Saccharomyces cerevisiae S288C: one gene and its partners. The protein of the gene in region 1 interacts with the protein of each later gene in a pairwise test. Each region holds a gene or a part of one and is shown in the gene's direction. Other genes may lie near its edges. The genes, in order: YPT52, YIP3 and GDI1.

Region 1 (3,199 bases):
CCAGAAAAATTCTATGTTGACATGAGACCTTACAAGGAACACGAGGAAAGGAAAAAACGGAGAGAAGAAGAAGCCAAGGTGAGGATGCAAGGTGAGGAACAGGAGAACATTATGATAGAGAGAAAAAAAATGGATAGTATTGAAGTTGAAGCGTCATCAGGATTGAAAAATATCATAAAAACACCTCTCGCTAATAGGGTTGTCAATACTTTTAATAACTGCGCTGCTGTGGTAATAGGCTATGTAACAGAAGTGGATAAAGTAAAGGATGACAATGAAGAGAAAAATAACGACAGACCTAAAATTGCGAACGACGGAATAGCTCAAAAGTCTAGAAGCGAAAGTGAAGATAATGCAGGAACACCGATGGAAAACGCGTACTTTCAACCTGAACCCCAAGATAATGACCAAAACAACATATCTTGGAATACCACTATGAAAGATATTGATCCAATTTACATGAGTGAAAGATGTGCTAGAGTTTGGAGAAAGGAGCAACAAATGCTAGGATTGGAGAAGGCTCAGACATTTGAGAAAAAATATTGTAAAGATCAGATGGTTATGGACGAAAATCAGGTCGAAGAACCTGGTAAGCACTCGGAGAGACATACAAAAAATCAGGTAGTTAGACCTAGGACCAAAATAGCATCTTCCGCCAGTAAAAATGATAATAGTAATAATAAAAATAGTAAATCATGCAAAAATTGCCATAAAGAGGAAGCGCACGGTCTAGTGAGAGAATACCTTAAGATTAAACTCAACATATCACCTCATGGAGAAAGGAATCAGCGAACAAAGGACAAGAGAAAATGTATAATGAAATACAATGCGAGCAGTAACAACATCAACAAAATGCCTGGGGAGAGTGAAGTACTTGGGTCAACTATTTTAACAGATATCCACTTTAAGGATGTCGTAACTGTGAAATTTAGGGATTTTAAAGCCAAATTTAGAAAAGTCAAAATAAACGCTTGATTTGCCAAAAATGCTATAGTCGCATCTAGAAATCATTACCAAAACGTGACGATTAACATAATACATTCAAAAATAAGATAGGATGCATTACATTTCATTATACCGTGGATTGGAACTGAAGATGAAAATTGCAGTAAATAGACAATAATCAGGCCTTATGGTTGTATGTCATATGTATACTCAAGATTTGAACTTTATATCACCTTTATTAGCGCATTAGCGCACATTTTAGGCCCCATTTCGAGGAATGTGGATTTTTGGCAAATCAATGTTTCTAGGTGTCTCTTAGCTTTCTATATAAGGAGTAAGGTATGCTTCTTGATGACATCAACCGTTTACTATACTTTTTTTAGATATTTTGTTTTCTGCGATAAGTATGATGGAAAGTAAACTGGTAATAACGTCAATACGTACTCTCTTGTAATTGTAGTGAAGCACAGTAATTAATATTTAAGCGTTCCCATGTTCAAATGTGTGAAAGGTAGGTAAAATCATTATGTTAAATTTTGAAATCCACATGACCTTGAATTAAATAGGCACATCACGATTGTAAAGGAATGAAATCAATCTGACTCCAAATTACTCAATGTTCTTAACACTATGTGTATCATTGAGACCAAACGGCAACTTCATAGTGTCTTGCTTTCGTGGACAGCGACTACTATTCTGGCCGGACAATTCAGGTTTATAAAGCTCTGCCCCTGCGATATGAAGTTACAATGTTAACATACGGGAGTGAAGGGAACAGGCCCGTTTACCAACTGTCAGTATTAATTATTTGTTAAGTCGCTTCGATATCGAGCTCTGGACATATCTAAATTTTTTTTTATAGTGCGAGGGTAGGAAGAAGGTTTAACTTATTTGGAGTAAACGTATATATTATTAACAGATGTTGCAATTTAAACTAGTTTTATTGGGTGACTCATCCGTGGGTAAATCTTCCATTGTTCATCGTTTTGTTAAGGATACATTCGATGAACTACGTGAAAGTACGATTGGTGCTGCTTTTTTATCTCAATCAATCACTATTCACCCAAACGATGGTAATGAAACAAAGGATGTCGTTATAAAATTTGAAATCTGGGATACTGCTGGTCAAGAAAGATACAAGTCATTGGCACCAATGTATTATAGAAACGCTAATGCAGCATTAGTTGTTTATGACATTACGCAGGAAGATTCACTACAAAAGGCAAGGAACTGGGTTGATGAGCTGAAAAATAAGGTAGGCGACGACGACTTGGTTATTTATTTACTGGGAAACAAAGTGGATTTATGTCAAGAAACGCCTAGCACTGAGACAAGCCCAGATTCAAACGAAGGTGGAGATGAAGAACAAAAAGTAAGAGCAATTAGCACTGAAGAAGCGAAACAGTACGCACAAGAACAAGGGTTGCTGTTCCGAGAAGTTAGTGCTAAGACAGGTGAAGGGGTTAAGGAAATTTTTCAAGATATTGGTGAAAAATTATACGATTTAAAGAAAGACGAAATTCTCTCTAAGCAAAATAGACAAATCGGTGGAGGCAATAACGGACAAGTAGACATTAATTTGCAAAGGCCATCCACAAATGATCCAACATCTTGTTGCAGTTGATATCCTATGATTTGTGTTTTAGAGGAAAAACAACAGAAGTTGCTTTAATTAAACTGCTACTTTCCGATAATAAAGCAGTATATACGTAATAATGTAAAAAAAAAAAGAAAAGGGAAGAGTAACTTTATATATGATTGTACATATACAGTATACATGAATATATATATATATATTTATATATATATATATATATACGTAGCCGTCGGCAAGATCTCCCAATTTTTTTCGTTCACCCTATTTACCATGCATGAGACTATGACAATGTTATATGATCTTGCTTGCATTTAATTTGCGTACCCTAGAAAAGAAGAATCCTTAGTGTATAATAAAAATTGAAACTATAAAAGAGAAATGTAAGAGAAGGAACAGTGCCCATTGCTGTTCATGTCCATACCCATGTATTCGCTAAATTCAGTGATTAAGCTAATGGCATAACGTTGTCAGCAAACTCACCAATGACATTACCAGCGGCTTTGTAGGAACAAATGATGTAATCGCCCCATTCGCCACCGCAAGATTTCAAACCGCAACCAACTTCAGAAGTTCCCTTCCATACGACTTGGGTGAAGTGACCTGCGCTTTCACTAAAACCAGGGTTGGAATAGTCGTAGCTGGTAATTTCGTTATACC
Region 2 (3,156 bases), on another chromosome or scaffold:
AGCGTTACATTCCAATTGAAAAAACTGCACGAAGGTAAAAATAAATCGGATGAATTACATCTGGATACATCCTATTTGGATGTCCAGGAGGTTCATATTGATGGTTCCAAGGCAGATTTTCAAATTGAGCAAAGAAAGGAGCCATTGGGCTCCAGGTTAGTCATCAATAACGCTTCTTGCAACGATAACTTTACCTTGAATATTCAATTTCGTACGACTGACAAGTGCACCGCTTTGCAATGGTTGAACAGCAAGCAAACCAAGGGCGGTAAACCGTACGTGTTTTCACAGTTGGAAGCTATTCATGCGAGGTCTTTGTTCCCCTGCTTTGATACTCCCTCTGTGAAGTCTACTTTCACTGCATCTATCGAGTCCCCACTACCAGTGGTTTTTTCAGGCATCAGGATTGAAGATACAAGCAAGGATACTAATATTTACAGATTTGAACAGAAAGTCCCTATCCCAGCCTACCTGATCGGTATTGCTTCCGGTGATTTGTCAAGCGCTCCAATTGGACCTCGTTCCACAGTTTACACTGAACCATTTCGTTTGAAAGATTGTCAATGGGAATTTGAAAACGATGTAGAGAAATTCATTCAAACTGCAGAGAAAATTATCTTTGAATACGAGTGGGGCACTTATGATATCTTAGTTAACGTCGATTCGTACCCTTACGGCGGTATGGAGTCTCCGAATATGACTTTTGCTACGCCCACCTTGATTGCACATGACAGATCCAACATTGATGTCATCGCCCATGAACTTGCTCACTCATGGTCTGGTAACTTAGTGACCAATTGTTCGTGGAATCATTTTTGGTTGAATGAAGGTTGGACCGTTTACTTAGAAAGAAGAATTATTGGTGCCATTCATGGCGAACCAACTAGACATTTCAGTGCTCTGATTGGTTGGAGCGATTTGCAGAATTCTATTGATTCTATGAAAGATCCTGAAAGATTTTCCACTTTGGTACAAAACTTGAACGATAACACTGACCCTGACGATGCCTTTTCCACTGTTCCGTACGAAAAGGGGTTCAACTTACTATTTCACTTGGAAACTATTTTGGGTGGTAAGGCTGAATTTGATCCATTTATTAGACACTATTTCAAGAAGTTTGCCAAAAAATCATTGGATACTTTCCAGTTTTTGGATACTTTGTATGAGTTCTATCCCGAAAAGAAAGAAATTTTGGATTCCGTTGACTGGGAAACTTGGCTGTATAAACCAGGTATGCCACCAAGGCCTCATTTTATTACGGCTTTGGCTGATAATGTTTATCAATTGGCTGACAAGTGGGTCGAAATGGCTCAACATTTGAAAACCACAGAGGATTTCCGGTCTGAATTTAACGCTATTGACATTAAGGATTTTAATTCAAATCAATTGGTTTTGTTCTTGGAAACTTTGACACAAAATGGCCATTCCAACAAGAAACCAAAAGATTTTGACTGGGCCAAGTTTCCCGTGGCATCTAGGGCACTGTTAGATATCTATCAAGATAACATTGTTAAATCACAGAACGCGGAAGTTGTTTTCAAGATGTTCAAATTTCAGATCTTTGCCAAGCTGCAAGAAGAATATAAGCATTTGGCCGATTGGTTGGGAACTGTAGGTAGAATGAAGTTTGTCCGTCCCGGTTACAGACTATTAAACTCTGTAGACCGTCGATTGGCACTTGCAACTTTCGACAAATTCAAGGACACGTATCATCCAATCTGTAAAGCTCTTGTGAAACAAGATTTAGGTCTTTGAAAAGGGACGTGTCGTAACATGAATACGTAAACAATTAAATATAACCTACTAATGAGCCTTCATTGCTACTTCTCTGGTTCTAATTAGTGGCGGAGTTCTGTGTCGTGCGATACGAATTTTGCACTTTTGTCACATGCAATCGAGGCAAAAAGAAAAAATAAATAATAACAACGAATATAAATACAAATCGAAAGAATTCAGATTGAATTCAATATTGCAGGGCTTTGAACACTGAGTTTGGAACTATCAGCCGTCAAATACGCATAAAATAACATCAAATACTCCAATAATGAATCAGTTAGGAGCTTTAGCCGTAAGTTCTAAATTGTAAACACATTTGCATCATTGAAAAACTATACTAACGCGTTAACCTTTTTTCTATATTTCTATAGCAAGTTTCACGTTTCACTCAAAACTTCTCCATGGAAAATATTAAGAGCGAGTTCCAATCCTTGCAATCTAAATTAGCAACCCTTCGCACCCCGCAAGAATTTTTCAATTTCAAGAAAATTTCCAAACCTCAAAACTTTGGGGAAGTTCAATCCAGAGTGGCGTATAACCTGAAGTACTTTTCCAGTAACTATGGTTTGATTATTGGTTGTTTGAGCATTTACACATTATTAACAAACTTGTTGCTACTCTTTGTTATTGTTCTAGTCGTAGCTGGTATTGTTGGTATAAACAAACTAAAGGGTGAGGAGCTCGTAACTCCATTTGGTTCTTTCAAGACCAACCAACTATACACCGGACTGGTTTGTGTTGCTGTGCCAATAGGTTTCTTAGCTTCGCCAATCTCAACTTTGCTATGGTTGATCGGTGCTTCTGCCGTCAGCGTTTTCGGACATGCATCATTGATGGAAAAACCCATCGAAACTGTATTTGATGAAGAAACTGTTTGAACACTCCTACAAGTGTTGGGAAAAGGAGTCATTCTTTTCTATTGTGTATTTTACTCTTCTTCAATATTTAGTTAATTCTTGTCTTTTATTCTCTTTCTCCGTCAACATTAGTATTTAATTGTATACAGACACCATTCATAATTGCAGTTAGCTTCTCTGTTCTTTCTCATTCCTAGGATTTACAATGCAGTCTTACCTTATTTGTTTATGTTTTTTTCGTTTATCAAGCGTGCAATCAATTACTGAAGATTCACGTGCCAAAACGTAAAAATAATAATAACATAACCCGAGAGAGGCAAGATTAGAATCAATTCATCTTTTCAAACAAATGGTTATATCGACTAAGCGAAGTGATTAGATGGTGTACGTCGCAGATATTCAACAGTGACGAATTATATGCGATTGTAAGATTGATTGGCAAATCGTATTCCATTACTACTATTAACAACTGATGGCATCTAGAAGGTAAAAAGGGTCAACGTAGATGAGGTAGAGTTTGAGC
Region 3 (3,947 bases), on another chromosome or scaffold:
AACCATCTCTACATATAATTGTGAGAACTTCGCCATTACTACTTTTAACTGGCTTAAAGGGACCGTGCAAATGGGTATCACAATAGCAGGGCCAAATGGTGTAGTCCAAATCGAAGGCGGCCACGTCAGGGTATCCAGTCATAATAAACGCGTTGAGACTATTTTGGAGCAGGATTTGTAACAAAATTGTTCTCTTTGTAAGTTTAAGGACAAAAATGCTTGTTTCTCGAGAAGGTCTCCTTTTCGGCAGGTCCTTCTTCTAGTGCGTGAAAAATATTCTACTCAATCCCTTAGTATTCTTTGTAAACAATACACTTTAAAGAAATATGAATGCTTATCTGCTTTTCAACAATCATTTTAGAGTTCTTATTCACTGAGGTGCGAATGGGTACGAAATTTGTTTCAGGAGAATTTAGCTTGTTGCACACAAATTTCTGCCATTTATATCTGCAAGATCTGTTTCCCTCTTTCCAACTAGCGAGGCATATTAGAAAAAGAGTGAATAGTAACTTGTGTAAGTTTTGATGTAACGGTAGTATAGAGTACCTATAATATTCGCCGATTATATTCTCAAAACTTGTAAATAACGCCATGTCACCGTATGGAGAAAGTGCTAACCAAATTGTAATATCGACCAAGACCTTTTTCTGTGAATTATGTAAGTTTCTTAAAGTCCATGTCATGCTTGAAAGATTTTAATCAACCTTGCATTTGTGGTCGTTAAACTCAAAGGGGATATTCAAACGACAATCGACAACTAACTTCGAATAAACTAAGATTCACTTTATTGGGATATAATCAATTACCCTTCATTAAGTGGTGTATATGTTCCTGACGTATTGTCATTTTCGGGATAAGAGGTTTGATGACTATTTCTCGATTTTCATGTCATCCTCTTTACACCGTACGTGATAATACACTAATTACACGATATAACTGAGCAATGATATTTTAGAGCTTCATCTCCACAATTTCATGTGTAAATCTTAAGAATTGTAGATATATTCTATTTTTTAATGAAACTTTTTCAACAAATTAGGTTTCGTGGTCTAGTCGGTTATGGCATCTGCTTAACACGCAGAACGTCCCCAGTTCGATCCTGGGCGAAATCAATTTTTTTTTTCGAAAACGTTATAATTTACGTTAATTTACAAAGGGCATTCCTTTCATACTAAGCAATGTTTACTTCCAATCTCTTGAGACATCTTCGAAACTAGTTGAAAAGAGACAAATCCGCTTAATAACTAATAGTTACAAGAATGGCCAATCAAACTCTTGCCAAGCGATACAAGCTTTACAATCCTGTAACAAAAACATACTTTTAGCGGTTCCGACGGTATTCTTCTTTTTCTCCATATATTTTGCTTATGTTGGCTACTTTAAAATAATTACCGCTTCCCCCACCAGAAACTAAACATGAGCTAAAGGCGCAAAACTTAAAAAATTACATAGCCAAGACTGTTTTCAAGAAAAAAATATCAGACCACATTTGATAAAGTACATACCTCTGTTAACTCCCGTAATACACCCATATTCTTGTACTTTCTACAATCTATCACTCAAACTTCTCTATTATCCAACATCTGCTGTTGCATAGTAAAGTAGGCCGTAAACGCTCAAAACCGTTATCTTTAGGTTACCCTTATGTTTGAATCGTTTATCTCACATTGGCGGTGTTTTCCCCTCTCCTGTGGGCTCCAAAATCTTGGCCGTGGGAAGCTTCAGCGAGGGATTGTAGATGTAGTTTCAACACGTCGGCTGATTTATCCCGATTTTGTTAGTAGAAAAGGTTCTACTTCATTCTTGCTTGAGACGTCGTCCCATCAAATTTCTAACATAGTCTTTTTTCAAGGAAGGATATTTTTCAAAGCAGGACTGCAATTAGTCTTTTCCTTTTCTTTACTCCCCTTCCATCATAACTGTTAGTGAATAACCACTTATATAGCATAACACAATGGATCAAGAAACAATAGACACTGACTACGACGTGATTGTCTTAGGTACCGGTATTACCGAATGTATCTTATCTGGTTTACTCTCTGTAGATGGAAAAAAGGTATTACATATTGACAAGCAAGACCATTATGGTGGCGAAGCTGCTTCTGTGACCTTATCTCAATTGTATGAAAAATTTAAACAAAATCCGATCAGTAAAGAGGAACGGGAGTCCAAGTTTGGTAAAGATAGAGATTGGAATGTCGACTTAATTCCTAAATTCCTGATGGCCAATGGTGAGCTGACAAATATTTTAATACATACCGATGTGACCAGATATGTCGATTTCAAGCAAGTTTCTGGCTCCTACGTTTTTAAGCAAGGCAAAATTTACAAAGTGCCAGCTAATGAAATAGAAGCCATTTCATCGCCATTGATGGGTATTTTTGAAAAACGTAGAATGAAGAAATTTTTAGAATGGATTAGCTCTTACAAAGAAGATGACTTGTCCACTCATCAAGGATTAGACTTAGACAAGAATACCATGGATGAAGTGTATTATAAATTTGGGTTAGGCAATTCTACCAAAGAATTCATCGGTCATGCAATGGCTTTATGGACCAATGATGACTACTTACAACAACCTGCTAGGCCATCGTTTGAGAGGATTTTGTTATATTGCCAAAGTGTTGCCCGTTACGGTAAATCACCTTATTTGTATCCTATGTATGGGTTAGGCGAACTTCCACAAGGATTTGCTCGTTTGTCGGCTATTTACGGTGGTACTTACATGCTAGACACTCCAATTGATGAAGTATTGTATAAAAAAGACACAGGAAAATTTGAAGGGGTCAAGACTAAGCTGGGAACTTTCAAGGCCCCATTGGTTATTGCTGATCCAACTTATTTTCCCGAAAAATGTAAATCTACTGGTCAAAGAGTTATTAGAGCCATCTGTATTCTTAACCATCCAGTTCCGAACACCAGTAACGCGGATTCTTTACAAATTATTATCCCACAAAGCCAACTGGGAAGGAAAAGCGATATATACGTTGCGATTGTTTCAGATGCGCATAACGTTTGCTCCAAGGGTCACTATTTAGCAATTATTTCTACAATCATTGAAACTGATAAACCACATATAGAATTAGAGCCTGCTTTCAAACTTCTGGGACCAATCGAAGAAAAATTCATGGGAATTGCCGAATTATTTGAACCAAGAGAAGACGGCTCTAAGGATAACATTTACTTATCCAGATCATACGACGCATCCTCTCATTTCGAATCCATGACTGACGATGTTAAAGATATTTACTTCAGAGTAACAGGCCACCCATTAGTTCTAAAACAAAGACAAGAACAAGAAAAGCAGTAAATTCATACCTTTACGACTAAAGCAGCAATTGGAGGGTAAACTTATTTTTTCCGATAATGTTCTTGGCAAATGAGTTACCAATAAATGACATGAATTACAGAAAACAAGAAAATATTTGCCAAAAAAAAACCAATACAAAAATATAGGGGAAAAGATTATCCTTTATTCCTTTCTCATTCCACTTTTTTTTTTTGTTATATGCGTATTCTGATTGATTCATAACTAAGTATCTTTCCTTTTCTTTTCTTTCAATTTCTTTTTTCCATATATAAATACATAAATTTACATACCTTATGTAGTATAATATATGGAAGAATGCTACTGAACACATCAGTACACATGCTATGTACTTACAATCTTAGTAAGGTAGATGTAGGTCTAATGCTTCGATGATCCCTTCATTATTTCTTGGGTATAACTGTCAGTCTCGCACCGCAGTGTGCCCTTGTGTGGCCAGCCTCGTGACAAAATGAACATTTTATCTTATTTTTTTTCTTTTTACTACTCTTTTTGCTGGTTACTCCCTGAATAGTGCTCGTAGTTTTATCTGCCTCTTCCTTGGCTTTAATCGGTATCAGGGCATATTTTTGATCGTCTTTTTCCATGATCTCTATTCCATTCCGCAGTACCATGTCAA

Evidence for each region.
Region 2: the proteins of YPT52 (region 1) and YIP3 interact in a two-hybrid assay, tested with the Saccharomyces cerevisiae proteins (one study listed by BioGRID).
Region 3: the proteins of YPT52 (region 1) and GDI1 interact in binary tests that used the Saccharomyces cerevisiae proteins (3 or more experiments, as listed by UniProt).

The regions. Positions count from the first base shown.
Region 1 is NC_001143.9:464,737-467,935, reverse strand, and holds YPT52 (Rab family GTPase YPT52), read left to right. Parts: upstream 1-1,864; coding exon 1,865-2,569; downstream 2,570-3,199. Other genes in the region: YKR015C (uncharacterized protein), read left to right, coding at 1-975; PRY2 (sterol-binding protein), read right to left, coding at 2,988-3,199. UniProt on the Saccharomyces cerevisiae protein: Required for transport in the endocytic pathway and for correct sorting of the vacuolar hydrolases suggesting a possible intersection of the endocytic with the vacuolar sorting pathway.
Region 2 is NC_001146.8:543,224-546,379, forward strand, and holds YIP3 (Yip3p), read left to right. Parts: upstream 1-2,044; coding exon 2,045-2,068; intron 2,069-2,147; coding exon 2,148-2,654; downstream 2,655-3,156. Other genes in the region: LAP2 (bifunctional aminopeptidase/epoxide hydrolase), read left to right, coding at 1-1,755.
Region 3 is NC_001137.3:437,662-441,608, forward strand, and holds GDI1 (Gdi1p), read left to right. Parts: upstream 1-1,954; coding exon 1,955-3,310; downstream 3,311-3,947. Other genes in the region: YER134C (Mg-dependent acid phosphatase), read right to left, coding at 1-142; YER135C (uncharacterized protein), read right to left, coding at 291-683; YER137C (uncharacterized protein), read right to left, coding at 3,712-3,947. UniProt on the Saccharomyces cerevisiae protein: Regulates the GDP/GTP exchange reaction of SEC4 by inhibiting the dissociation of GDP from it, and the subsequent binding of GTP to SEC4. Plays an essential role in the yeast secretory pathway.